Tamandua tetradactyla: one gene and its partners. The protein of the gene in region 1 purifies or fractionates together with the protein of each later gene. This does not show direct contact. Links are inferred from orthologs where the notes say so. Each region holds a gene or a part of one and is shown in the gene's direction. Other genes may lie near its edges.

Evidence for each region.
Region 2: the proteins of FBXW7 (region 1) and MED13L purify together in Homo sapiens (affinity purification with mass spectrometry; 4 studies listed by BioGRID, with this or other methods). This does not show direct contact. The link is inferred for Tamandua tetradactyla from reciprocal best matches to the Homo sapiens genes FBXW7 and MED13L.
Region 3: the proteins of FBXW7 (region 1) and MYCBP2 purify together in Homo sapiens (affinity purification with mass spectrometry; 6 studies listed by BioGRID and IntAct, counting the BioPlex papers as one, with this or other methods). This does not show direct contact. The link is inferred for Tamandua tetradactyla from reciprocal best matches to the Homo sapiens genes FBXW7 and MYCBP2.
Region 4: the proteins of FBXW7 (region 1) and ENO1 purify together in Homo sapiens (affinity purification with western blotting; 3 studies listed by BioGRID, with this or other methods). This does not show direct contact. The link is inferred for Tamandua tetradactyla from reciprocal best matches to the Homo sapiens genes FBXW7 and ENO1.

Annotation. Positions count from the first base shown.
Region 1 is NC_135348.1:14,755,611-14,762,626, forward strand, and holds the start of FBXW7 (F-box/WD repeat-containing protein 7), read left to right. Parts: upstream 1-4,003; 5' UTR 4,004-5,206; intron 5,207-7,016. UniProt on the Homo sapiens protein: Substrate recognition component of a SCF (SKP1-CUL1-F-box protein) E3 ubiquitin-protein ligase complex which mediates the ubiquitination and subsequent proteasomal degradation of target proteins.
Region 2 is NC_135331.1:16,692,192-16,700,212, reverse strand, and holds the start of MED13L (mediator of RNA polymerase II transcription subunit 13-like), read left to right. Parts: upstream 1-5,008; 5' UTR 5,009-5,076; coding exon 5,077-5,148; intron 5,149-8,021. UniProt on the Homo sapiens protein: Component of the Mediator complex, a coactivator involved in the regulated transcription of nearly all RNA polymerase II-dependent genes.
Region 3 is NC_135330.1:145,172,282-145,179,506, reverse strand, and holds the start of MYCBP2 (E3 ubiquitin-protein ligase MYCBP2), read left to right. Parts: upstream 1-4,219; 5' UTR 4,220-4,516; coding exon 4,517-4,818; intron 4,819-7,225. UniProt on the Homo sapiens protein: Atypical E3 ubiquitin-protein ligase which specifically mediates ubiquitination of threonine and serine residues on target proteins, instead of ubiquitinating lysine residues.
Region 4 is NC_135328.1:216,492,173-216,499,186, forward strand, and holds the start of ENO1 (alpha-enolase), read left to right. Parts: upstream 1-4,007; 5' UTR 4,008-4,141; intron 4,142-4,471; exon of another isoform or gene 4,472-4,576; 5' UTR 4,577-4,630; intron 4,631-7,014. UniProt on the Homo sapiens protein: Glycolytic enzyme the catalyzes the conversion of 2-phosphoglycerate to phosphoenolpyruvate. In addition to glycolysis, involved in various processes such as growth control, hypoxia tolerance and allergic responses.

The DNA of each region.
Region 1 (7,016 bases):
TCCCAGCCAGAAGTGAACAATATACAAGGAATCTTGGGAATTGGTTGACCTTATTGATTCAGAAAATTGAGAGTCAGTGTGACAATGGCAAACATACTGTGTAGGAAGACTTGAGGCAGAGTTTAGACTTCTTATTTACTTGCTTGCATGACCCTGGCTGAATTACTTAAGTTCTCTGGCCTCCTGTTTTAAATATCACTGATTCTAAAAAGGAACTGACAGATAAGAAAACAATCAAATGTAATGTCAGGCACTGACATGGATAGTATTTGAAATGAAATTTTTAAAACTCCCATATATTTCAGTAGGAACTTTAGGAGCAAACTAAAAAATCCACCATAAATTGTAAAATCAATGAATCTGGGAAATGAAAAAATTTGTGCTGGGGTATCAATTTATTACATAGCAGTCTGTATGAGAAATACAAAGCAACAAAGACAACCGAGTTTAATTACATGGACTCAAGAGAAGATTTATCTTTATATACTTGAGGGAAAATAAAGCACAGCTAAAACAAAAATAAGCATGAAGGATTCCAGTTTGTAGTGGCAACAATACTTGACAGTTGAAAGTGTGGCATTATTTTGGAAGGTAAAGAATAAGAAAAGAAAATAGTACTATAGTTATGTCCTTAATCAGTCTGTGATCAAATTAATAAAATACAATTAGTTGAACTATACTTACTGAGTGGGCCATAAACACAACTAATTATTTGGTGGTATTACCTTACCTAAGTAGCTTGTTCAAATTGTGGACCATTGTTCAAATGGGAAAATCAGGCATCTCAGTAGATGAGACATTAAAAAGACAACATACCTCACAAAAGCGGAAATAAGAAGGGCTAATAAATACATGAAAAGACCTCAATAGCATCAGTAATTAGGGAAATGCAAGTTAACATCACGATGGGATTCTACTACACACAGCTCAGACTGACAGAACTGAAAAGGGACAGTAATGAGTGCTGTTGTTGTTGGTGTGGAGCAATGGGACTCATGTGGCTTGTGGGAGTGTAAAACTTTCGAAAAGAGATTGGCGTTATCTATTCAAATTAATGAGACTCATAACAACCGCCAGGTATATACCAGAGAGAAACTGATGTCAACGTGATGTAATATCTATATGAAGAATGTTCACAGCAGCATTGTTTATTGCAGCCCAAACTGGAAACAACCCAGATGTCTATCAACAATAGAATAGCTACTATAAATTACGGTGCATTGTTACAATGGAACACTGTAATATGAAGCAATTAAAATGAACACATTATAGCTAGATGCAGCAACATGGATTAGAAACCATGTTGAGAAACAGCAGCAAGCACAATGGATTACGCATTATGTTGTTTCATCTACATAACATTCAAAAGAAAGGGCAAAACTAAACAATATATTGTTTAGGGATGCATGCTTGTGATAAAACATGCTTGAAGAAAGGCAAGGAAATGATTATCACAGAAGTTAGAATAATAGTTACCTCCAGTGCAAAGGGAAAGAGTCCTTCCTGTTCAGGAAAGATCACAAGGGGGTTTTTGGGGTACTGCAATATTCCATTTCTTGACCTAGTTGATTTGATACGTGGAGATTTCCTTTATAATTACTCATTATAATTGCTTTGCATTTTTATGTACATTTCACAATAAAAATGCCAACAGTACTCCATGTACTGGGACATACTGTAGATGGAATTTCTAGAAATAAAAATAAAATTTGCAGATAATTTAGCTAATGAAATCTTTGATAGTAAAAATCATTAATGTGAGATATTAAAACATTGATTCAATAAGGGCTCACTTTCAACTGGAGGAGAACCCTATAGAAATGTCCCTTTGTTATGTTTTAATGTAAAATGATATCTATATGATAAACAGATTGAAAAACCAAGGAAAGAACTCTGTTACCTAAAACTTCAGGTATTTGCAATTTTGAATCAACTGTATCCTCTCTCCTCTGGATTAATAAGCAATACAAGGAACTAAAGTAGATATGGAAATGAATGGACTTCCTCTCTCTTCTCACCAGTTCCAGCTGTTTCCTTCTCTTCTCATGCTGGGTCCTGAGGTGGGTAGACCTTGCCCAGTAACCTTAGTGCAGTTATTTCCTAAGTAGATGGCTCAAGGCTTTCCCGAGTGTCAGTCTCTCAGTAATAAGGTTTTAAGGTGGAGCATTTGACAATGGAAACAGATCAGGCTGCTGAAAAACCCTGGGTGCTACTGGAGGCATCCTCTGAGGGTTGCAGAGCTCTGATAATTGTACTCTTTATGTTTCAAGCCCACTGAACTTAAAACCTGAGGTTCTCAGCATCACAAAACCCCTTAAACCTGGGTGTTTTACTCCAATTTCTATCATCCATCCACAGAATGATGAGAATGGCAAAAACAAAAAAGATTTATTTTGTAGCCATTTGGGGCCATTACTTGGTGGTTTGATTCCCAGTCTCATTTGGAATCAAATGCAGGGTAACTTAAGTAGGCTCTTATTTAACTTGGCTCTTGGGATTTGGGTTCAAGGGCAGGAGTGTCAGGTGTTATTTCTGCAGAATGTCTCCACTTCTCCCTCTTTTCTGCAGCTTTTAAAACAAAAGCAAAAACCAGGCCCTTGGTTTTACCAAGTTAGAAGTTTCCTTGGTCAACAGTTTGCATATGGTGCTGGTAGCACTGGCAGAAACCCCAAGTTTCCAAATCTGCTTGCAATACTCCTGCTTCTATTCCTCCATAGAGGAATAGTAATGGAAAAGACTTCCATTACTGCTGCTTCCAGAGGAAGTAGGGGGTGCGAGGTCCAGTGACAGAACTGTGGAATTCGCTTCCTTTCATCATTGCTGCTGCTTTTATCGCATGCTTACACTATTCACCAGGACAGATTCAGGACAGATTTCTGAAGATTTTGGTTCTTTTATATTACTTCTTTTCCTAGAGAATGACCTTTTTAACTTTATGAATTATTACTTGAATTGACCTTCCAGAATAACATCTGTAGGAAAAGCTGCATAACAGTAATAACATTTATTTCAGAGAGGAAAGAGACTTTCAGCCACATGTGAAACGCAGGCCAAAATTACTTGATGAGGGTAATGGACACTGAATGACAACCAAGACAAGGTCAAGAAGTTCTCCATAAGCAAGAATGATTTCTAACAGTGAGGCATTGCTAAATTCTCCTCTAGAAAAACAGTCAAAAATCTTTCTACGATCTCCGGAAGGATGGTTCCTTTCCAATACTCCTCCCCCTCACACCGCCCCCTCCCCGACGCAACATTCTCCTGGAGTATGGCTCTTTCCTCCTTACCTCCCCCCCCACCCCCCCAGCCATCCGTCTCCTCCTCGCCTCTCCCCAACTGCCCTCCCTGGCAATTCTGCAAAGACGCAGGGAGTAACTCTCTACTCTAGCCACACCACATTTCCTTTCATGGAGGAAAGGGGGTGCATTATAACTTTCCTCATAATGCATCGCAGTTTACAAAGCGCTTGCACTTCTATCATCTCCTCTGAGCTCTTTGGGTGCCAAGGGACGTAGGCATTCATTCATTCATTCACCAAATTTGCGGCTCTCCACCACACTTTATCTGGCTGTAAGTCTCACCCCACACCACGGGAAGGGTGGAGTGCTCGCTCCTCGAAGCAGATGCGGTGAATTAGGCGTCAACTTCTCGCTGGGTCGGGTTTGTTGAGGGCCCGTTTGGGGCCAAATGCCTCACCTTCGAGTGGTGCGCGCCGGAGCATGGCCACACGGCTGGGCCTCCTCCTTGCCCCCAAAGGAGCAGTCACGCTCTAGGGTCAGGGGTAAGATCAGGCCGTAGCTTAGGCTCAACTCGGCTCCTCCCCTTCCTCTCTTCTATTCTGACGCGATCGCAGAGGCGGCAGCGGCGGCGAGTCCCGCGGTCCCGGGCGCACCCACCCGCTCTCGGATCCTCGACTTCCTCTTCCCCTTGAGCGTCATCAAAGTGCGCCAGAGTTCCCCAGGTCGGGGTGGGTGGGAAGGGAAAAAAAAAGGCTAGCGGTGGAAGCTTCAAAGCAGAGGGGGGAGGAGAGCGGTTGCTAGGTGACTTGCGTCATCGCTGTGCGCCGGTTTCCTCCCGCCCCTCTCTGTGGAGTGAGGCGAGAGCCCCGCACAGAGCGAGCGAGATAGCGAGCAGCGCTCCGGGCGCTACAGCCACCGCCTCCGAGAGAGTGAGAGCGAGGGAGCATCCGAGAAACTCAGCTTCCGTGCACTGGCCGCCACCGAAACCTCCGCCCTAACCTGGGCCAGCGAGAGCCGCGGCCGCCCTTCCTCTCCCCCCCCCCCCCTCACCTTCCCGGCCGGCAGCAGCGGCTGCACACGCCGGAGCCGGAGCCGGAGCCCGCGGCTGGGGGGGCAGGGAGGCGGCTACCCTGGGTCGGGGCTGGGCAGCTACTCCGCGGTGAGAGGACGCTGAGGAGGGTCCGGAGCTTTCTGCCTCGTCCCGGGACGCGGGGCGAGGGACCCCCAAGGTGTAGGGAGGGGGTCCCAGTCGCAGCGACACATGCGGGAGCCGGGAGCGGGGGCGGCGCCGAGCGGAGCCGGCCAGGTCCCCCACCTCGCCGCCGCCTCGGCCGTCCACCCGGGGCCGTAGCATCTCGCCCTGGAATATATGAGCCGGGGCTCCAAGCTCAGCAGCCACCCCCCAATCGGGGGGGCGGGGGCCCCGATGTGAAGAGGCGGCCCGGGTGGCGGGGAGAGCAGGACCCGCGCAGAGGTTCCCTTCCTTACCTTCCCCCTCCCCCACCCCCTTCGGGGGTCTTCTCCTTTGGCCAGTCGCCAGCCCCCCGGCTCCTCCGTAGGGCTCCGGGAGGAGTTCTCAGTGCCCCCTCCCCCGCCCCAGCCCGAGGGCGGCGGGGCTGGGGGGGATCCGGGGGGCCGGCCGCAGCCTCCGCCCAGAGAAAACTTTTTATAAAAATAAAATCCCAAGTCCCCCCAACGTGACTGTCCCGGGTGAAGTGGCCCTGGAAGGGCTGGAGCCACAGCCTGAAGAGACCCAGGAAGAGGAAAAAGGAGGCAAGAGGGGCCGCCACCCCTTTTCCACCGGCGGCACGGAAGAGACCCGGGTGGCCACCTGGCTTAGCGACACTAGCACCGCTTCTTCCTCGGTAACGCACCGGAGCTTTTCGCGGCCGCCGCCTCAGTCGGAAGGAGGAAGGGACCCAACCCACCTTCTCAGCTCCACCGTCATTACTCTTCGCTCCTAAAGTGTGAGTGGCCCCGGGAAAGAAAGTTGGGATTAGAAAGTGGGAGGATGCCGGTGCTTCTTCTTGGAGTTTTGCTCATGTTTCCCAGGAGTATTGGGAGTGTATAGGTGAGACAGTACCTTTATTCTTCACCGAGGGGGGAAGGTATTAGGTAGTCCAGTATTTTGTTTTAGTGCTTTGTGTGTATTATGCAAGCGTACAAGTTTCTCTTAGAGGAATTTTGCCTTACTCCAGAGTGGGTACTTAACGCCTTTTGGGCCTGCAATTGGCAAAAGAAAAGGTAGCCAGAGCATATGTGCACATAAAGGACATCTCTAATCTTCTTTTTTCCTGGTACACCTAGTGTGAAACAGCGCTGTAGTTGTTTCTGGGGAACTCTCATATATAGATGCCCAAGTAACCACCTACTTACTTACTTTTTGAATTGAAAGTAAAATTCCTTTCATTTTTTGCAGTCTTCCTTGAAAATTTTCTGTTTTGCTACCTATTAATACAGGATTTTTTTTTTTAAACTTTCTAAATTTCCTTGGTTCAGTTCCTGTCTGTCAGGAGGACACTAACAGATTTCAGTCAACCAGGAAATTCTGGATTTTTATGAATCACAACTTACTAGGGGTCTCCAGAGCATTTAGTGCTTTAACCAGTTTATAAAAATTGTTACATTTTTTTCCTTCACGCATTTTTTTTCCTTTCTTGAGAAGCATGTCTAAATTATTGCACTTTTTATTGGGCAGTTTAGCTTGAGGCTTTGATTATTTGAGTTATCGTCACTTCTCTGTTAATTTATGAGAAAGTTTCCATATTTAATTCTTTTCCAGAAATATTTTTCCTTTCATTTTAAAGTTGAAGTTTATAAGAACTTTCAGGGATACTTTCAGAAAGCCAAATTAGAGGTGCAGGAAAGTAATTTACATTTCGTATGTTTATGCACCCCTTAAGGGTTAAATAGACATTTTATTGAACAGAACATAGGTGGTATACCAAGAATTATGGTCCATCCAAACACCTGTGTGGGCTCTGTCTTTAAAGGCACTGCTGAGACGTGGTTTGTGGGAATGGATGTAAATCTGGGGTTATCGATCCTAAGTTCTCCATTGAGTAGATTTAATTTTGATTAAATTTACTTTATACTTAACATTGTTTTGATCCTGTACCTTTTCTTTCTTAAAGTAATGAGTTCTGCGAGTTTCTTGCTTCTGGATTGTGCCACAATTTAATTATTTATTGTGAATCTGTTGCCTTAAAGTTCCAAGACATAGGCAGAGTTTGTTTTGAGAAAAGGAAGAATAAGCCTGAGTTTATCTTTTCCTGGTTATATAGATTTTGATGTTCCTTCTTACCATCATGTCTCCTGACTATTTTTGTCTTAAAATAATTTATTTCATCCCTTTTATCACTGTGCCCTCCTCTGGAACTTCTGTTTTTTTTTTTCTTTAGCTACCTTGTTCTTGTTAATCTTTTGTAGGAAACCTGCACTTCTATCTTATTTAAATGGGTACCAACGTGAAAATATTGAGCAATAGATGTAATGTTCTATTTGGAATCAGAAAAAACATCTCTGGAGTCCTTCTTACTACGTGACCTTTAGGAAGTCATGTATTCTGTGTTTCACAGGGATATAAACATGAGAGATCTAGTCTTGCATAGGCTGTATGTTAGATACTGCTTTTTATTTGTCAGATTGGCTTGAAGCTTTGATTATTTGAGTTACTGATGTGAATGTATATGTACATTTTTCATTAGGGAAACGTTTGGTGCTGGATTATACAGAACTAATTGGTGTATCTGAGCCAGATCTGGAAATGTCCGTTCT
Region 2 (8,021 bases), on another chromosome or scaffold:
TGAATTTGTAGATTTTTTCCTTGTTGCCTTAATTTTAAGTTGCTTTATGAAACTTACTGCTCAAATACAGGCTTTACAATGATTATATAGATACACTTTATTTAAATATGTCTATGGTTAAACTAAGATATCCATTTTTGGTGGTTCTAAGTGTATTGTTTGTTTCCTTAAAAAAAAAAAGAAAAAAAGAGGGAATGCAAATGGTCAAGACACCTAAAAGAAGATCAACCTAACTAGAGTTCAGGGAAAGCAAATGTAAACAACAATTATACCACTTTTCATCCGTCATGTGGGCAAAAAGTAAAAGATTGGCAACATCCAAACACTGGCAAGGTTGTGAGGGAGTGGATACTCTTTCCATATTATTTGAGGGAGTGAATTGCCACAGCCTTTGGAGAAAGTCTTCTGGCTGTATTTATTAATAATAAAATATACCTTTATTAACAATAAAAAAGCAATCCGATTTTGGGGACTTTACTCGACAGAAATAAAAGTGTCAGTACATAAGGATATATGGATAAGGATATTTACTGCACCCTTGTTTAAATGGAAGCCACCTGAATGCTTAGGAATAGGGAAATAATTGGATAAATTATGGCACAGGTGTTTTATGAAACATTACACAACTAATAAAAGAATGAGTTAGAGCGAGCTATATAGGCCTAGAGGTGTATTTGTGATAGAATGTTAAGTGAAAAAAAAGCAGATTGCAGAGAAATGTATGTGGCATGATCCCGTTTTCATGAAATGTAATAAAAATTCCCTTAGAAATGTATTCATCGGTAGGAGCAAGGAGGAAGGAGAGTAAGGATTTGCAACTTTCTCTCTACCTCAAGTAGGGCAGAGAGAAAAGGATTTCCTTTTGGAAATGTGTTTTGTTTGACTTGCTAAAGCTAGCATTTTGTACTTTTGTAATATGAAAGGTCACAAATCCAGTAAAGTTTAGGTTAGAAGGGAAAATCCCTCAGGAATGGGATTGGGTGATGATTTCTCTTGTATAAAGATGGAAAGTGAGCATGATTGTTATAATTTATTGACTACTGCCCCTGGGGCCAGGCATTGCCCTAAGAACTTTCCCTGCGGTTTCACCCTGGGAGGCCAATGCATGGGAAGAAATAGGGTCGCAGTGGTTAAATGACCTGTTCAAGGCTGCACAGCTAGCTCGGGGCAGAGCAGAGAGTGGAACCCAGGTGCGTCTTTAGCATTTACAAAATGCTCTCTCTGCAGCTGCTGAGGCCTCCGGTTAGTCTTCCTAATAGATGGTTCCTCCTTTGGTCATATTTTTGCTTCCATTTTCACTCTGCCATTACATTTGGTAACCATGAAAAGGAACTAACCTGTCATTCTCAGAAGGCGGCCTGAGACCTGTGCTGAGTAGAATTTCTGTTTCCTGCCTAGGAAAGGCACTCTCACAAATGGAGAAACTAAGTCCCGAGGATGCTTAAGAGGTGTCTCTGACATAGGGAACTGCACTTAGAAGCCCTGGTGCTTAGTTCCTTTCTTTAATACTTCCTATTAGATAATTGAGGATTTTGTTTTTGTTTTAATTTTATCTCCTGAGGCCTTCCGTCAACTCCCATTGCTTTCTCTATTGAGAAAGAACTCTGCAGATCTTAATCAGTGATCTCAACTGTGCAGAGAATCAAAAAAATTCATTGTTAGAAATGACCTTAAGGCTCACCCAGGCCACCCTTTTTCACCCAGAAGGAAACTGAGGCCCAGAGAGATTAAGTAGCTTGTCCAAGGTCACCAGGCTGCTCAGGGGTGCACCTGGGACTAGAATCGGATTCCCCTGGGTTCTCTTTCTGTACTCATGTTGCCAGGGCAACCACACTCCACACTTCTGGCCTTTTTTCTCCCATTTTGGTGCCTTGGCTTCGACAGCCAAAGAAATCTCCTTGGATGAGGTTTTTATTTGTTGTTGTTTATAACATACTGCCTTGAATAGGTAATATATGCATTTGGTTTAAAAAAAGAAAAAGAAAAGGAAATGCAAAAAGCATAGTAATTCTTCCCACCGACTTCCAGGTCCCCAGTCCCCCCTCCATAGAGGCAACCGATAATAGTGTCTTGTGTAACCTGCCAGAGTTACCGCTATTAAGAATATATTCTGAAATTATTTTATATTAGTACACATAGTGCTAACTGGGTATTTTTAGTGGTTGCTTGAGATTATATTATTAACCACTTCCCAAGTGATGAACACATACATTGTTTCTAGATTTCACCATACAAACAATGCCATGCCCTTGCACTGCAGGTCTTTGTGCTTCTGTACAAGTCTATCTGTTGGATAAACTCCTAGAAGTAGAATTGCTGGGTCAAAGGGATGTACATTTTAAAATCTGATATTCATCAAATCAACATCCAAAGCTGTGGTGCCAATTTATATTTCCAGTAAAATGTAGGAGAGCCTTGCTTCCCTCAACATGTATCTAAATTTTAAAAATATGGCCAATACTTATTCTGGTTTTAATTTGTTTTTCTTATGATGAATGAGGTCGAGCATCTTTTTATACATTTAAAAGTCGTATGTATTTCCTATTCTGCAATACTGGATTTTGCTCTGTGAGATTTTTTTTTTTAAATTGCTGAAGAATGAGCGCTTGGTAACCAGGTAGGTGTGTAGGATGAAGCCCATCTGGGGTGTAAGTACATGGAATGTGAATAAGGGTAGACTGTCGTACCATCTTATTGTTTAGGCCTAAGTAACACCAAGCATGTTGACAAACTGCTTTGGCATTTTTTCTAAACTTTCAAAACCAGTAATCTTAATATACATTCACGACATTGCCCTGAGGTTGGTGGATCAGTAATTAGGATCCATCTCTGACAGATTAGAAATGAGAGTTAAATTCTTTTGGTTAAAGCAACATCATCAGGGAGGCAAAGCCAGCTCCAGGCCAGCAGTCACCTGGCTTCTGGTCTAGCATCTGCCCACAGAGCCTCCTGGATTCATGCCCTAGCTCTGGAGCCTAACAGATTTGGGTTTGAAACCAGCTCTGCCATTCACTAACTGAGATACCTTGGAGATGTCACTGCATACCTCTGATCCTCACTTTATTACAGTCCAAGGATAATAACAAGTGTCTGCTCTATGTGGTTGTTATGAGGATCATGTGAAATAATGTACGCACATCCTTCATAACACAGTGTCCGCGGAATTGTAACATAGTGTCAGTTGTGATAATAACAGGTAGTATAACATGCTGCTCATGGGTTTTACTTTAGCAGTGTTTGGGAGAGTTCCAAGTCTCAGTTCACCTCTTAACTAATCCCCTTTCCAACTCTCTCCTCTCTTTTAGTCTAGTCTCCTTGAAAGAGCTAGCTCTTCCACGTTTGAGGACATATTAGTGAAGTTTTTTCCTCCCCACCTTTGCAGGGAGTGCACACTTTGAAGACTGGGACAGAGACTATTCATACTGGCGCCAACCGAATTCCAAAGCTATACAGTCTCAGGAAACGTTTATTGAATGGAGTCAGGAGGGTAGGTCTGCTCCCAACATAGCCTGAGCACAGTGCCTGGCACATAAGTGGGGAAATCAGTTATAACATATTGTGGCAGATGGCAAGCGCTCAGGAAACTTTTGTGCAATGAATAAGAATGAATGGATGCACACAGTGCCTAGCAGTGAGGTCTCAAGAAGCATTTATGTATTAAACGCCTAGTACCTGGTATACAGTAAGCGCTCAGTAAACGGCAGCTGTGAATATCCCGGGCGAGGTGCCTGGATTCCGATGTCGGCTCTTCCTTTTCCCTGTAGTGCGACCTCGGGCAAGTGACTTAATTTCTTTGTGCTTCAATTTTCTCATCTATAAAATGCAGACCCACCTTCCGGAGTCAGGTTTTTCCCTGAGACGCTCGCCAGAACACTCGGACTCGCGGCGTGGCTCACAGCTAGCTTCCGCCACGCCAGCCGGTTTGGGAGGCCGGGTCACAAGGGAGGGGACCCCGTGCTCTCCACTGCGGCCGCAGCGGGCGTTCCGGGGTCCGTGGTCGCGCCCCGCAGCACCCCGGGGCACTCCGCAAAGATCTCAGCACCCCGAAGGGGCGGGGCCCGGCGCCTACGCGGGGCAGCCCACGGCAACCTCAAGTCGGCAGGGTGCACCTCGCTGGGGAGCTGGGGAGCTGGGGAGCTGGGAAGCCGGGCCGCCAGCACTTCTTTTCTGTCCCTCTCTGGCTCTCCGTCTCCCTCCCTCTTCCCGGCCTGAGAATCCGCCGCACTCGGCTCAGCAGCGCCTCCCGCGAGCTGCCGCCGCCGCCGCTCTGGGCCCCGCCCCCGCACGCCCCCCCGCGCGGCCGGCGCCCGTCACGTGCCGCAGCGCTAGCCAATGGCGGGCCGAGCCGCGGTCGGCGGCCGCCATTGCTGTCAGAGCTAGCGAGCCGGGGGAGGGAGGAGAAGCGAGGCTGACTGGGGAGGAGGGGGGGGTGGGGGAGGAAGAGGAAGGAGGGGACGTCGCTCGGCTGCCGGGGTCGCCCGCTGGCTTCGTCCGCACCCCCCCCTTCGCGAGTTCGCGCTCCGCGGCGGCGGCTCCGAGGCGGCGGCGGCGGCTCCGGGGCCCGCCACCCCTCACGCGCCGGCGGGGGCCGAGGAGGAGTCGGTGGCTGGAGATAAACAAGGCGGCGGCGGCGGCTGAGGAGCAGGGAAGGCGGAGGCGGCGACCGGCCCGCATCTCCGGTCCGGGAGGCAGCGGCGGCCCTGAGAGGCGGGGAGGGCGCCGGGCAGCGCGGACAGCGCCCCCCGCCGCCGCCGCCGAAGCCGCCGCCGCCGCGGAGCAGGAAGGAGCCGCGCGGCCGCCGCGGACCTCCCCCCCACCCCACGCCAGCCCGGGCCCGCCGCCCCCGGCGCGGCGTCGCTGCGGCGCCTCCCTCCCGCCCGCCAGCCGGCCCTCCCGCCCTCCCTCAGCGCGGCGGCGGCGGCGGCGGCGGCGGCGGCGGCGGCGGCTGCGGCTGCGGCTGCTGCTGCTGCCGGGCCGCCCCGCGCTCCGCGGCGAGGCGCCGCCGCCCGGCCCGGCCTCGCCTCGGACGCCTCGCTCCGACATGCCCCGCTCTGGCGGCCGGGCTCGCGGAGGATCATGACTGCGGCAGCGAACTGGGTGGCGAACGGGGCGAGCCTGGAGGATTGTCACTCCAACCTCTTCTCGCTGGTGAGTAGCCTAGCTGCGAGGAGGGGGTCGTGCCGGGGTGGGGGTGGGGGTCCCCCGACCTCAGTCGCCGACCTCCGCCACCGACCAACTTTCTCCTCCCGCCGCCGCGACTTCGCCCCTCCCGCATTTCTCCCCGCCGTTCGCCTCTCGTCGATTCTCCCCCTTTTGGATCGTCTCTCCTCGCCTTGGATCCCATCCAGTGTTTATTTGGCTCTTTAAAAATCATTTGTGAGCACGGCGCTCGGCGTGGAATTTGCATGTGGAAGTCTCAGAGCTGCGGATTCTGGGTCGCACTTCGAACGCCCACCCTCTGTTGCAGTCACACCCCCCCTTCCCCTCCCCTTTCCCCCCTTTTCCCTAAGTGTGGAAGGCTTTGCCTTGTTGCTGCCCGCGCCGAAGATAAGCAGCCTTTTCGCCCCAGTCGGATCGGCTGCCCGCTCGCCTGCCTTTTGAATTTTTTTTTTTTTAATTCCGTAATGACACCTGCAATTTCGCCCGAAAGCAGTTGATTGAATGCGATTGTGTCAGTAAAGGACTCTTGCCACCGAAGCTCCTGAGATTGTAAACATCGACAGCCGCCTGCCTCTCGGGGCTTACTACACTGGAGCCAAGGCACCGAGCCGGTAGAAGGTGGAGAAGGCTTTTTCTTTTTTTTCTTCCCGTGTCTTTTAAAAACTGTTTTCTCTGTCCTAACAACGAATCCACACACATACACAAAAGCAACAAGCTGAGCGGTGTGATAACATCGCTTTTATCTGCCTTGGCCTCTCTCGCTCGCTCTCTCTCTGATAATTGACAACTTTTCCTTCGGATTTGAATCGCCTTAATCTTGAAGCAGTTGGGGTGTCAATTGTTCTCGTAGAAACCTGGCACCCGATGACAGCGTCTAGATTCGTCGAAATTAAAAACGTGTAGGACTCCCCCAACTCTTTCCTGGTGTTGGCAGTGACAGTTGGTGGTAAATGCCATCTTTGCTTTTTATTGGGTCGTATTACCTACCTCTGGAAACATTCACATTGTTAAACCTGGCGTTTAAGCTAATAATTTGCAGTGCGTGGTCTTTAAATATGTGCTTTGTGCATGAGTTACTGTATGTATAGCTATGTGCCCGTGAGAATACGAATTTGTTTAAATATTGAGCAAAGATTTGTAAACAGATGTAAGGTAATTATGTTTCAGGGGTAGAATATAATTAGAAAATTGGCTAAAGGATTTATTTAATTTAGCCTTAACAAAAACCAACTTATATTAAGTTGTGTACCCTGTTTTGAGGTGACTGCTTTTTGGAGAGCATTCATTTTGGAAATTATTTTTTTGTAACCTCTGTGGTAAATAGAAGCATCATTTCCTCTTAATCCTTGTTAATACTGGATAAATAATTTAGTGTTCAAAGTGTAATTAGTTATATTTAATTATGGGTGGCATAGATTTTTTTTTCTTTGAGACCAGTGAAGAAATGCAAATTCATGCCAACTTTTCAAATGGAAGTGCTATTTTATTAAATATGTTACAGTATTTATGCAGCTCAAAGAAAACAACACATGCGATTTTTTTAACCTACAAAGACTGAGTGACATAGTGTCTGTGCTTCCATTATAGTAGGATCAGGTTTCTTTCTTTTTCTTCAAGCATTTTTATTCAGATATTTAATCGTAAAATTCAGTTATATGCAGGGATTCTTACTCTCAGTAGATTTTTTTACTCAGAAGATTTTTTTACCATATGGGAATAAAACTCTATATTCCTCCTCTTTTTTTTCCCCCCTCTGTCTACCATTTACCATCAGCCAGGTCCAGGGAGTTTCATAGATTAGCAGATATTGATTAAGGGATATTTAAAGTGTTGTTTGGCAGCGGATGACCACACTGACACTTTCACAGGTAATTAAAATAACCAAATAGGCCAATATTAGTGAAGAAAGATCCCCCAAATTACCATAGATCATGCTGAGGACTAATGGCTTGTGTATATGTAGCTAATTTTTATATGGTAGATTCCTTAGACAACTGACAATATATGATATGTATAGGCAGTCTCTAGGATGTGTCATTTCTTTTATCTTCTTTTATCTTTTAAATGAGAGTCATGTAGAGAAAAGATTGAGATTCTTTTGGAGAAACAAATAGTTTTATAGGAGAGGATTCTGTACTTTGTAATGTCTAACCAAAGGTTGTGCTTTGGGTATTTCTACCCTAAATCTTTTTAAACAAGGAACTGATTTTTTAATATATATGTATATTTTTAAAGAATGACTTTTCAGGTAGTAACTTTAAAATCGTAACCACAGAAATGGGTATGTTGATTTGTTTAAGACATTAGAGAGTCTATTTGTTGCCTTCCCTGTACATAAAGGGTGCTAATTTTTAAAAATTATCAGTTAAAAAAAACTTTATTATTGTACATTTTTCTGATTCCAAATTAAGAATTTTCATTGAAAATCACATGCAGCAACAACATAAAGTATTAAAAAATAAGTTCCCTAATACATTATATATGATAGTTGATAATTCCAGAGGGGATTTCATTTCCTGTTCAAAATAAAGCATGACTTATAAGAACTCTTTATATGCTTGATACTAGCATATTTTTTCTTTTGGTCTGCTGTTTCTTTGAGCAGAGTTGTTTATAGTGAATTTACCTAGATACTCATTGGTATAGATTGAAATATAAACTAGAGATTAAAGTTCTGTATCACAGTAATGACCCACCCACTTTCAGTTACCTTGAGGGGTTCATTGTGGCTTAGCAAAAGTTGATTGCGCAATTAGGTGCCTTAAGATTTCTGCCAGTGCTTTACTGATTTTGTTTTCCGATTTTTACATTTCTACCATCTGCCATCAAATTTCCTAAATTCTCTCCCCACCTTCTCCCAA
Region 3 (7,225 bases), on another chromosome or scaffold:
GTTTAGAATTTGAAATAATGAGACAAACTATTTAATATCAGTAATAAAGAACAACTTATTACTTTGTTAACTACACTGAGGTTTTCAAAGTTAAAATGATGTGTTTGTTTAAATTTCTCTCTTTAACAGAGCAATTTATATGACTTTCTATATCAGTTGTTACATGCATCACAACAAGATTTTTTTAAAGTGTTGTGATTTGCATACAAAGATACATTACTGAATTCACACATTCCAAAGCATACACTCTCTAATAAACATTTTAGAATAATTGTTTTCAGGGATGAAAATGTTCATATATAAATTCCTCTCCTAGAACTTAAATTTTAATTAGTAGGAAAACTTGGACATATATTTTGTATATTTTAAACTAATATAGATAAAATAGAAAAAAGCATTAACTCTCCATACCTAAATATTATAAAGTCCTAAAAATACAATTGTATAAAGCCAAAAGTCAACCTATCTAGGGTATTCAGTGTAATTTATGTACAAAAGAATTTCAAGTGCCCACTGAAATTTTGCCTTCAATCTGTTATTAAATATGATATTTCATTTTAAAAGGCAATTAAATGATATTTAATTATATTAGTTAAGAACGATGAATATTGTGGCACTTCAAAAGCATTAGTCACTGAAGAGTGAAGAACTTCCTCACTCTTCAAGCCTGAGCATGTAAATTGTTTCAAATTGCTCTCAGTTATTAAACTTGTTTCAAAATACTCTCAGCTACCATTTTGTTTTTTTAAATGATCCAATACACTATTGTACAAATCCAGGAAACAAACTCAGACTCAACTCGATGACAGCATTTTCAGCAGCTTTGATTTTCTTGATAGCATGCATGCTTCCTGTGTTTGTAACCTTGTAGCATTAGTGCAATATTAGCCTTTTAAATGTTAATTAAATTAAATTGATGTTAATTAACAACATCAATCTGTCATTTTACAGACACATCATGGGTCCTGCCATGGTACATTTTTTGTTGTTGGTTTTTTCACTGCATCAGCTCTGGTGGCTTCTTTAAAAAAATGTATATATGCATATTCTTAAATATAGAGTAGAAAAATGTAAGAGTTCAGAAAATTGTAGTCCCAGGTACGTAATGTCCAGTGGACAAGAACAACAAAATCTGTGATCATAAAGGTGAAAGAAGCAGCCATAATCTTTTTGTATGATCACAGATGAGATTCTTTTGAGAAATCAGCATGGTATCAACCACAAATCCTGAAAAATACTATATATGCGTTTCACTAGTAAAATCAGTAAAAGGCAGGATATGCCTTAGTTTAATGCTATTCTTTTAGGGCGAATGGGGCGTGCACGCATGTCTAGCCTATTCTGACACCCCACCTAGGGTTCCCCCTCCCTGCCACTCCACCCTAGCACTCCCTCCTAACTCGATGCACGAGCACGCCCAGCCAAGCCAGAAGATAAATCTAAGATGGCAGCGAGGAAAGTACAGAAGCAAGCTCAGTGGGATGGGCAAAATAAAAGCAAAGAAAAATCAGAGACTTCCCTGTTCTTTCATTACCCATAGTTGTCTGAATAACAAGAGCTCCCCCCACCCCGCTCCAAACACCTGGGCAGCGTAAGGCATTCAGTAGCGCTGCGCGCAGGAGTGGCAGGAGATGATTGCTTTGTAGAAGGCGAGAAACCCACAACTCGACGGTCCTGGTGAAGTGAACCTCCCGCGACTTGCCTTAGGGACTACCCTCCCCTTCGAACCCCTTGGCAGTGGAATTAAGTACGACTCTAAACGCCCTTTCATCCCTGGGGTGGTCTCATCGCGGGCTATCCCATAGAAGCCTCCCAAGATGTCCAGGTGCCAGCGCAGTAGCTGTAGCAGTTGTAGCGAGGGGCGTTCGCAGAGTGCGGAAGCAGGAAGAGGAGCAGGAGGAGGAGGAAAACGCTGCATTAGCTATCAATTTGAGTAGAGCGACTGCGACCTTTGCCGCTGCCGTGGAAGGAAACCGCTGGCAACCGCAAAAAAAAAACGCCACCCTCTGATACCAAAGTGAGCATGTGTGCGACTCTGCGCACGCCTAGTGGTACCGCTCAATGATATCGGGTTTCTTAGGAAATTATCCAGTACCGGGTTTTGAGTGTGTCCAGAAGTCTCAAGGTGGGGCCTCTCTGGAATCGAGGGGTACTTTAAAGACTGAGGTGAAATTAAGGAAGGGGTGAAAGGAACCCCGATACAGTGCAGCAGCAGTTAGCCCTCTAGAAACTCTAAACGGACTATGACTACATTTGCCACCACCTAAGCCCTAGATGGAATTGTTTCTCTGTGTAAGCAGCATTCGTTCGTTCATTCATTCATTCCACCAATATCTATCTCTCCTATTTAAGGCTACACCCCGTGCCAGGTCCTGGGAATGCAGTGGGGAACAGGCGTTGGCACCACTCCCATCTTACAGATAGATTTAGTGTGGTTTTTGTTTTGTTCTTCGTTTTACCATTTGTGGAAAGCCATGTGCCAAGTTGGAAAGTCAGAGATGCTTTAAATCTCCCACAATTTTATGCAGTAGGTATGATACAGACGAGGAAATATTCCTGAAGTCATACAAGTATTATGTGGCAGAGGCAGGATCCAAATCCATGTCTATCTGATTTCAGAGCCTTTTTTGCTACTCTGTTGATCTTGCAACAGTAATGTATCCTAGCAACAACAGTAATGTATCCTTGCAGTTCATACTTGTTAGGCCTATAACTTCACAATTAAAATTGAGCTGCCTCTACACCAGTGTTGATGTTCTCACCCCAGGGTTAGGGGCACTTCCTTTTCAACACTGACCTTTGCGCTGAAGCATCAGATTTAGCCTAACAAATATGTATTGAATACCTACTATGTGTAAGGTTCTCTACTAGAGACTGAGGAAGACATAAAGATAAACCAGAAGTTCTGAGGAAATTAGTAAAACAGTTGAGGAAACAAGACAGGTACAAAGCTTTTTAAACAGGGCTACTTACAGTACTGAAATAAAATACTGTGATTCCCCACGTTTGTGCCTGTCTCTATGCTTTCATCATATTTCTAGGTATCTTTTTGTTAAAAGTATATTCATCTATCATTCAAAGCCCAAGATAAAAATGCAGTTTCAGCCTTTCAGCACCTCATCCTCAACAAAATCTAGAATTAATTTACTTCCTCATTTCTTGTTTGCACTTCTCAAAACACTCAACTGGACATTATTACTATTTTTCATGTGTGAAAGACATTCAAAAAAGAGGCACAGAACTAGTAACTAGAAGGGTATAGTATTGGGATGAATGGACAAGGAAATATGTTAGGAGTATACATTAGGCAAACTCTTCAAATTGAGAGTCAAGGGATAGAACTATAAATCATGGGACATTTGAATATATATTTCTAGGACACTTATGAAGGGATTAGTAGAATAGCTTGAAACAGTGGACTCAGGATGTTACACTTTTTAGATGGCAATGATAAGATCTTTGGTAGATTTGACATTTTCAGGTGTTATACAGGCTTACAATTATTGGCAGCTTGGACAGAAAAAGATAAGCCGATAAGTGACAGCTGTCAAGAGATAAGGATGGATCCTTTAACGAGTGGAGAGTCAAAAGAACATTTAAGAAAATTGCTGCTGTTGTGATTTAGCTCTGATGTAAATGTTGATAACAATTTAGAAATGAATGTAGCCTTTGAATACCAGCATATGTGAATTCTACTTTCACAGAAAAAAAGTGCATTAGATTACTACCTGTCTTTGTAAGTCAAGGCAATTTGAAGCAGACTTAAATTCTAATGACAATAAATCCAAAATAAGATCGCCAAAGGGACTCCTAATTCGAGTGGCCTTCTCTACCTTGAATTCTGATTTAACTAGCACTATTCACAGTAAATCTTCATGTTGGCAGCACAGACTTTGGAGAAGAAGTAGCAGGAATGCGTAACCCTCATCTTCTGGCGACCGGCATCTTCCCTCTTTCTTTCGGGTGCTAGTTCTCCCTCCTGGAGGGAACCCCATTACCTGAAGTCGAACACCGCTAGCTAATCGTCTCTCCAGTATTTTCATTACTTTCCCTCATGCGGCAAGCAAAACCCGAAGTGGATTTTCTTCAGACTGAGCACAAACGAAGCTCCCACACCCAAACCCCGGAGGAGGAGGGAGAGGTGGCAGAGAGGGGGTGGGGAGAGAAAGGGGCTCGAGCTATTGAGCATGTGCAAGGAGTGGCGCATGCTCAGTGCAGCTAGCAGTTTCCCATTGCGGATTGCCCCGGCGGTGGTAGCGGTGGTGGTGGCGGCAGTGGCGGCACCGCCTCCTCCTTACACTCTCGGTGTGGCGGGGTTAGATGAGCGGCCCCAGTAGTGGCGAGGGCGGCGCGGGGGGGAGGAGGCGAAGAAGGAGAAGGAGGAGAAGGCTGCTGTCTTTGTAGTTTCCCTGCTGCGGGAGTGAGAGGCCGCCGCCAGAGCCGTCGTCGTTGGAAAAGGGCTGTGTGCGCGCGCGTGTCTGCCAGCCCGGCCCGCGGGGACGAGGCGGCGGCGAGGATGATGATGTGCGCAGCGACTGCCTCCCCTGCCGCCGGCTCCTCGGGGCCCGGCGGGGACGGCTTCTTCCCAGCCGCCACCATCTCTTCCTCCCCGGCGCCGGGGGCGCTGTTCATGCCGGTTCCCGAGGGTTCCGTGACTGCCGCGGGGCTGGGGCTGGGGCTGCCCACCGCGGACTCCCGGGGTCATTACCAGCTGCTGCTGTCAGGCCGGGCCCTGGCCGACCGCTACCGGAGGATATACACAGCTGCGCTCAGTGACAGAGACCAGGGGGTCAGCGGCGCTGGACACCCGGCCTCCAGGTGCGTCTCCAGAGTGCCCTTCCTTGCCTCACATGCAGCGTGTGTGCCTGTGTGTGTGTGTGTGTCTGCGTCTACTTACATATTTACTGAGCAGTCTTTCATTACGCGCATAAGCCTGGTAGAGGTACTTATTGACATTGGAGGGTGCGGTGTCTGCAGTTTTTACTGTGTGTATGTGTGTGTCTGTCTGCCTATGTGGAAGGTTAGTGAGGGTGGGAATGTAGTATGGGATGTTGGAAAAGGTGATGGTGTAGGTCGGTTATGACACGTGTGTGTGCATGTGCATATGGTAGTTGAAGAAGTGGGAGGGATGGGTATAGAGTCAAAGGGTAATACACGAAAAGAATTTGTAAGAGTAATGAGGGAAATGACATTTTCAGTGTCTGCCGGAGTGGTATTTGCATGTCTTTTTCACTGATCACCCTCCCCTGCCCCCTATTCCCACTCCATGACATTTCATTCTCCCTTCTAATTCCCTTAAAGAAAAGCTGCCTTTATCTAAGGGAGCAGTGGTATAGGTAAAGGATAGTCTCATATTTATACGATGAGTTTCAGAGAATCAAACAGTCATTTAGACATGGCGTTTCAGTTAGTCTTAGAAATAAGGCATGCAGATAGTTATGTAGAGTGAAAGGTGTCTGATAGAAAATTTTAAAGCTACATTTTGATAACTGGGTTTTTTGGTTTTCTAGCGATGTGGTTGCAGCTGCTCTTGTGTGGCCCTATCGGCCATTTCCCTTCATCTTCTATTTCCTCTGTCACTTCTAGGCTTTGGAGTAGCGGGGGTTTTGTAGAGGAAAAGGGAAAGCTGAATGGAAGAACTTCAGAATATGACAGCTAGTGTAGTGTTCACCTGCTGCCAATTAGAAAATCTGATCAGCCCCTAGATCTCTTCCAGTTAGATGCACTGCATCTTCATCTTCCTTGCTGTGGGAAATGTCACTTTCATTTTTTTTTTCTTAAAATGTGAATTCCTTTTTGCTAAGAATTCTGTTGTTTTCTTTTCCATGTACTTCTATGGCACATATCCTGAAGGCTGGTAACTGATTGTTTCACCAGCTTGGGTTTGACATTAGTAATTGGGAGTTGGTTTGTCTTTTTTTTTCTCACAACTTCTTGCAATACATAAGTAAAGAAATGTATGATTTTTCAAATCATTTAAAGAATTTAATATATTTCTCGAATGTGGGGTGATAACCAGATGAATTTTTTTCCCATTGATAAGAAGCTAGGCTGTAAGGCCAGGTATTTGTTTTTTCAGTACATATTGTGGCTTATTCATTGGAGAGAGTTGTAAAAATGGAGCTTTGTTCATACTTTTTCTAGGTATACCAGTCTTCTCATTTCTGTAATTGTTTACAAGATTGAACACATGAGTAGTTGTATCATATGGATATAAATACGTGTAACTACCTTTTGCTATCTAACCTGAAGGCCAAAATGGAACAGTCTTTTTATTGTTAATGTATTTGAAGTAACACAAAATTTCATTAGACGGTTTGCTCTGATAGTGAGGTGTAATTATTGGTAATTCTTATAATTGATCCATGAGTCTATAAATTATGGTTATGGTACATAGGTACATCTTCACAAACCCCTCTTAAAGACTTTGAAATCATTTTGTATGTTGTTCCCAGACTTATTCAATAATTTGTGAGTTATATTCTCTGTTCGGACTTTCTATTACTATACTTATGTAATAATATTTCTGTGATGTATAACTGTATTTTAGAGAGGATTAATGTAGGTTAATCATGTACATAAGATTTGTGAATGACCTTTGAGTCTTTGGTACATTTTTGTACAAGCTGAGAATTGAAAGTAATGAAGAATTAAAGTGTTTCAAGAAATTCTCATAGAACCCAGATTTAAATAGCCTATTATTGCTTTTCCTGCTGTTTTGGAACATTTTTACTTATTATAATTCATATTGTGTTTTCTAGGTCTTAGTGTGCAGCTACTCCTTATTGAGCATTTGATTAAGAATTTAATCACGTTTCTTATTAAAGATGATGGAGAAAGTGGAGGTGTGATACAGGTTCTGAAGGAATACATGTAAAATAATCATTTGTGTAGATGTACTAGTTGAAGTTATAGGAGAAGACAAGATTATTCAAAGACAGAGAATGGAGGAAGAATAGAGTATGAAGCATTAGTGAGAATTAAGTTTAAAAGTGTGAGAGAAAAGAGACAGTGAAAGAAGCCATAAAAAGATAAATAAGGAAGCAAACCAAAATTTAATTTGATTTGCTGAAGTTGCTGGAATGCAATATACCAGAAATGGAATGGCTTTTAAAAAGGGAATTTATTAAGTTACAAGTTTACTGGTCTGAGGTCATAAAAATGTCCAAAATTACCTTGACTCAAGAAAGGCCACTGTCTGTCACATGGGAAATCACGTGGCTAG
Region 4 (7,014 bases), on another chromosome or scaffold:
AGGTGGGTCTTAATCCCCTTGCTGGGGTCCTTATGAGAGGATAAAACACAGAAACATCAAGAGACAGGGGGTTAGAGAGAAAATGCCCTAGTTGAAACAAGCAAGGACCCACAGGAGCTGAGAGGGAAAGCCATTGAAACGAGAACCAGGGGAGAAGGAGCAGCAGACATCACCACGTGCCTTCCCATATGACACAGGAACGCTGGATGCCAACAGTCCACTGTGACGTGCCCCTGCCGGGCAGAGGTCTGGAGTCCAGGCCCCTCCTTAGCCACCTTTGATGTTGATCCTTGGCCCTGCCAGCTGCATTCAGAGGGCAAAAGCCCGCTTAGGCTAAGAAGTCCTTCCGAAGGGGCTCTGGGCCTGGCCAGCGCTCAGAAGGCCCTCAAAAGGGGGCAGTTGATCTGCAGGCCCCTGCCTGACCTGATTAGTCCAAATTCTGAACCAGCCATTCACTAGTGGAGCTGCCCCGCCTGCCCTTGCTGAGCTGAAACACTGGGCAGGCAGTCGCCCGGCTCCCCAGGACAAGGCAATGGCCCCTCACCGAGCCCCTTCTGACCCGCTGTGAATCTACCCAATGGCTCTTCAGGTCAGTCTGCATTTTCCTTCCAGCCACATGCTGGGCTGAAATCTATTCTCCCCTTGCATTTTCCTGACCAGATGGAGAAAACAGAAGAAGGGAAAAAAAAAGAGATTAGAGAATTCCAATGCAGGAGGTCTAAGAACCTCACATCAAGGAAACTGTCAGGGGTTGGGGAAAATTAGGGTTTCTCCCCCTTTGTTTAGGAAAGGCAGAAAATGTCATCTTGAGTGTGGGACTGGGGACATTTTGTCATAGGAACACAATACAATGTATCTAACTCTCTGATCTGTGCAAGTAGCTTTATCCTTCCAGCTACAAGTTTGTTCTTGAAAGAATACAGATATGAAGGCCATATGATGATGTTTCTCAAATCCTGAAGCTGCTGCAGATGAATTCTATTTTGGGTTGTATTCAAGGGGAAGCTGTTCAAATTAAGGGAAGGCTCCTTGGACTCCATTCAGTTTTGCAGCCTCTTACCCACATCTTTCATCTTAGAGGAACAGGAGGCTGAACGGTTGGGGCTAAGTCTGCCTCGGCTGGTCCCCCAGCACCTCCACCCTCCAACTGCAGACTTAGCAAGCCAGGCAACCTCTCTGAGCTTTGAAAAGTGGAGATGATCAGAGTGGAATCCGGTCATGAACTCGGTGAAGGGATGTAATGGCTAATGCACATATGAGCCTCTGCTCGCTGGATGCCTGCTTCTTGTGTTCCCCATCCCTCTGCACCTCTGTTGCCAGGCTTCCTTACTTTCATCTCCTCCCTGGGGCACTGTGCTCCCCATCTGTCTCCCTAAATGTACACTGGGTTTCTAGGGTAGGTTTGGCCAGTCCCTGATTCCCACAGTTGACTGGTGAAGTCAGCCTTGAAGAAGGCACGGGAGGAGGCTGAGGATGGCAGAAAGCCCTAATATGTACTTCAAAACCACCTACGGTTGAGTATTGACAGCAGTCTACAGAGAGAAAACATGGGCTTCTTTTTTAAGTGAAGGACTTGAAAGGGTGTCAGATTAAGAATGCAAGGAGATTTAATTCCTTAAAAAAAAAAAAAAAAGAAAAAGAGAAGAACCGAATTTGATTTTATTTTACCAAACTGAATCAGAACGCATACATACAGAGGTATAAACACTTTAGATAAGAAAGCTGAGATGTGTACATCCTACCACCCAGCAATTTCACATCCAGGTGTGCTTCCTAGAAACTCTTGCACATTTGCTCAGCTATAACAAAGTTCATAGCAGCATTGTTTATATTAGCAAGGATAATAACTGCAACCAACCTAAAGGTACATTGACAGGAGCATATGTGACCTTTACGCAGAGGAATGCCATATAGCACTGAAAATGAGCCGTCCACAGCTACACTGATGGATCTCACCAACATCAAGGTGAACAACAACAACAACAAAAAAAACAGTAGAAAAAGGCTTCCAACAGTAAAATTCTATCAAGTTTCTATCAAGTTCAAAAATTATTTTAAACCCTAAATAAAACTAAGGCCAAGGAGGAACAGATACCCAAGGGACTTGAATGAAATTGCAGATGTTCCATTTCTTAAACAGGTAGCGGGTACATAAATGTTCAGGTATTTTATCATATAAATCGTATACAGTCTTTGATACGTTTTTAATATTTAAGGATAAGCAAACAAACACAAAAACCCTCTATCTGTTATGAGGGTTCATCTGCCGCCATTAGCTGAGGACCTCCTGCAGGCCCCTCATCATACCGTAAAGTTTCCCATCTGCCTGGACACCCACCTTCAGAACAGCTGTATCACTTTTTCAGTAGACCAGTGTTGCACAAAACACAGATGAAATCAGTAATCCAGGTGTGTTGTCAATTGCTGGAGATTCACTTTCCCTTAAACCTCGTGTCCTTTAGATGGCCTTCAAGCACCACCTGCAAGGCTTCGCCAGGTGGTCTGCTCATAATACCTTGGACACTTCCTCCCCATCAGGTCCATGCCCCTGTGCTGCCCTGCAGGCAAAGATTAGCCCCATGGCCTATTAACAGAGCATCAGGAACCATGAAGATGGACAGGACATTTTGGCAGCCTGTGGATTTTTAGAGATTTGAGGGCATCTCCACTAATCATTAATGTTTCAGCTACAATTTGAGGTCGAAGTGCTAGCTCAGAGCACGGGGGTGGCTTCCAAGAATCTTGCAACAGCAGCTGTCTCATGTCATGATGCACTACATTTGATTTCCTGCTAGATGCACTGGTTCTGGCCAGAGAACTATTTTAAGAGCCATGTCTATCGTTATCTCTTTAACAATTCTAATGTAAAATTAAAGGGATTGTTTGGCATCCTTTCAGGACCACACCTTAAAATTGCTCTGAAAATAAAAGCTTTAAGGGTCTGATTTCCTTGGCGTTCTTACAAGGCTTGAGAGACGTTCGCTGTTGATTTAGCTGCTGAGTCATGGGGCTGGGATATTGGTTTTAAGCAGCCAGAAATGGCAGTGTACAGTTGGTGAAATCATAACCTCTGCTTGCAAAATCCATATCAATCTTTACTGAAATAGTTTACGATTTCCCTGTTTCTTTTCTTTTTTTTTCCTGAATTCAATCATAAAGTTCTTGCTTAGTTGTTGGAAAACAAATACGTGGACTCAGGAGGCCTTCTTAACCCTGTGCTTTGGAAACCTAAGCCAGCAGCTTGGGGGCAAAAAAAAGCTAATCATAAGAAATAAAGTAAATTATTTATTTAATATCTTTATGCACGGCAGTGTGTTAAATATAAAGACCATGCTGTTTTAGATCTCAGACTTAGAAATCAGGAGGGAGGGCCGTTAAGTAAATACAAAAATAAATGTATCGGAAAATAAAGCGATCATCTCAGGCCTTCTTTGGGGAGGCGCGTGTGTGTCTGTGTGTGCGCGAGTTGATTTTAAATGGACTATCCGTTTTTTTCTTGATCAGAAAATCAAAACCATTCCGCCCACCTCTTCTTGGTTTTCTTTTGCTAGACCAACGGGAATTACTACCTGCTTCGAGCAGTCCCCTCAGGGGGTATGTGAAATTCCATCCCTAAAGTCAGTCTTTGCTGTAGTTCAGGAGAACCTAGGCAGATCTCATCAGGGCCTACAAAGAGTAAAGGTGTGTGTGTGAAGTCTTCTGTCCTCAATGAAACAACACGAGAGAAGAATGAAATCCGCGCGGGGTGCACGCGGGCGTGCGGCACGCCGGAAGCGTGAGCTACAATGAAAAGTGAATCTGTCCTTCGGCTCCGTGCGTGGGATCCTCCACGCCCGCCCGACGCCGCGAGGTGAAGGAAACCCAGGTCACCTTGGCGGCGGCGCGCGCGTGGGGCCCGGCCGGAGCGCAGCGCGCAGGCGCGGACGAGCGCACGTGGACGCGGGCACGCGGCGCTGCGGCTCCCCCACCCCCTCCTCGCAGGCCCCCTCCCCACCCCAGGGTCGCGGCCGCTCAACGTCTCCACGCCGCCGGGGGCTCTCGGGCACCGCGCTCCGGGCCGGGCCGGGCAAGGGGGCGCCGCGAAGGTCATCAGCAAGGGCGTGCGGCGGCGCGGCTACGCCGAGTGCGTGCGGGACTCGGAGTACGTGCCGGAGCCCTCAGCCCTCATGCCCGCCGCCCCGCCCCGCCCCGCCCCGGCGCCACAGACCCCCGCCCCCCTTAGGGGCCCCGGCGGGAGGCGGAAAGGGAGGGCCGCGGAGGTCGGGGGCCCTTCTTGGGGTTTGAGTCTCCCGAGTCCCCAGCCTAGGCCCAAGTCCCCAGGCCTCCCGACCCCCTTCCCCCCTTTCTCAGCCTCAGCGCAGGCCATAGTCCCGCCCCTCTCCCCGAGGAGGGGGCAGAGGGCACGATTGACGGAGCACTTGGCCAATGGCGAGGCGGCGCGTAGGGGGCAGGCCCGGGAAGGCGGGAAGTGGGCGGAGCTCCGGGCTGGCAGGAAGTCGGGGCGGCGGCGGGGAGAGGACCCCGGGCAGTCGGCGCGTGCAGATCTCGCCTGCTGACCCTGCTGCGGTGTTTGCAGCCCTCTCGGCTTCTCCCTCGGCATCGTCCCTCGTTCACGAGACCCGGCGGCCAGGTAAGGACCCCGGGGAAGGCCGCGGGCGAGCGCTCGGCAGGTGGAGCGTGGGTTTCTTCGCCAGGTCCCCTCCGCGGCGTGCCCGTGGGCGCGGGCGTGGACCGGAGGGCTGGACGGTTCCCGGGCAGGCGAGAGGTGCGGGCCGACGCGTGAAGATGAGTTGCTTGGAGGGTCGGGGGAGAACAGGCGACCGTCTAGTCCAGCGGGCTGGGGAGGAAAGGGAGCCTCTCTGTCAGGAGCCAAGTAAAGGGGTTAGTTAGAGGGGAGAAATGCAGGCTTCGCCAGGATTTTTAATTAAATAATTAAAGCCAGGCCCTGCCTAAAACGGGGGAGGGGTCTGGGAAACAGATGACCCGCTAGCTGCGGCCCCCTCCCCCACCAGCAGCCTCTGTCCCCCGCTGGTGGCTCCCGGCCTGTAGGTCAGCGGCGTGCTGTCCAGCCCATCGCTGCTCCGAAATCAGACAGCTCGTGTAGCTTAAGAGGGTACTTTTTTTTTTTACAGTAATTGATTTTCTTCTGTCGAAAGAAGCCCCCATTTTTAAGAATCCCTGCCTACCTAGGATAAATCCCACTTGATCATGGTGCATAATTATTATTTTTTTTTTTTAATTTTTTAAGAAGTTATAGGTTTGCAGAAAAATCCTGCAGAGCTGCCATCTGTAGCCCCAGTCAGTAACACCAAGAAGGGGCTTCTTTATTTTTTATTTATTTATTTATTTTTAATCAAAGGGCCGAAGAGCCGTTGAGTCATTGAGGAACCGGCCAGGAGACTCTGCCTAAGTCAGGCAGGATCTGCTTCCCACCTCTCTGCCGGCCACCCCCACTCCGGTACTGGCTGACATAAAAAGGAAGTATTTTGAAAACGCTTCCTGTTGGCTTCTCCCCGGCCATGTGGTCGCCTGGTTGCCTTGCCTCAGGCCCCTCGGGACCCCTCCTCCCCGTTAAGTTCAAACCAAGCCCCGTGAAGAGCGATCCTGGGAGGCGGTGTAATCAGATCAACCCTCTCCCAGTCTGTGCTCCCTAAAGTTTCATTACTTTTAAAAAATAGCTATCTACCAATTTTTTTTGTGGGGTGCTTGGGCACAGCAGGCGAGCATTCTACAGTTAGCTATCAAATTTAAAGACACACTTGAGTTGATTATGTTTTATGTCACTAAATGAAACGAAAAATTAGACCTTAGATCTGTGTGCTGTGCCACTGTGTTAAGGATGTATTTAAAAGTATGATTAAAATCTACAGTAGCAAAGGAAATTAGTAGTTGCCTGGGAATGGACTGCAAACCATTAAAGCTGTATAGTTTGTCAAAACTCATCAAACTACACACTTGAAGTGGGTGCACTTTATGGTATGTGAATTATTTCTGAAAGTTGGTTTAAAACAATATGTTTTAACAAATGGGCCTTTTTGGAAGCCAGTGGATAAAAGCTAGATGCCTTTTAATTGACTAATGAATAAACTCCATTATTACATAGAAAGGAAAGCCACAGAAGTGAGTTCAGTGTCTAATTTTGAAACTCAAAATTAAAAAATAAAGATAGGATGCCATGTGCTGCTTCAGAACATTCCAGAGAAGATGTTGGAGGGTAGCCGAGGGAAATAATGGTTTCTGAATGCTAATTTATTTCCTCTCATTCACTTAAATGTCATAACTTGCTGAATTACTTTTTTCTTTGGAGACCCCCTGGGGAAAAAAGTGAGAAAACGGCTTTCTTTGGGCACTTGCTGCAAATCTCTGTTTTTTTTTTTCTTTTAGGTGTTATTTCTCTCAGAATGTTGTAGCAGAAGATAGAATTTTCTATTTACAAATCCCAATAGTTTATAATTAGGTTTTTTTTATTATTATTTTTTTATTAATTAAAGAAAAAAGAAATTAACACAACATTTAGAAATCATTCCATTCTACATATGCAATCAGTAATTCTTAACATCATCACATAGATGGATGATCATCATTTCTTAGTACATTTGCATCAATTTAGGAAAAGAACTAGCAAAACAACAGAAAAAGATATAGAATGTTAATATAGAGAAAAAATAATAATAATAATTTTAAAAGACACAAACATACAAACAAACAAAAAAACTATAGCTCAGATGCAGCTTCATTCAGTGTTTTAAAATAATTACATTACAATTAGGTATTATTGTGCTGTCCATTTTTGAGTTTTTGTATCTAGTCCTGTTGCACAGTAATTAGGTTTTTTAAATGGGCAAAATGGCCTTCGGAAGAAAGGGCCGTGTGTCCCACTACAGGCCGAATGCTGCGGCATTCAAGAGCCCCCAAGCCTGTCACTTCTGAGCTCCAAGCTCAGAATTTCTAACTGAATATCTAACTGCTCCCAACTGAACAGCCTGCTGCTACTTCAAACATAATGAATTAAAA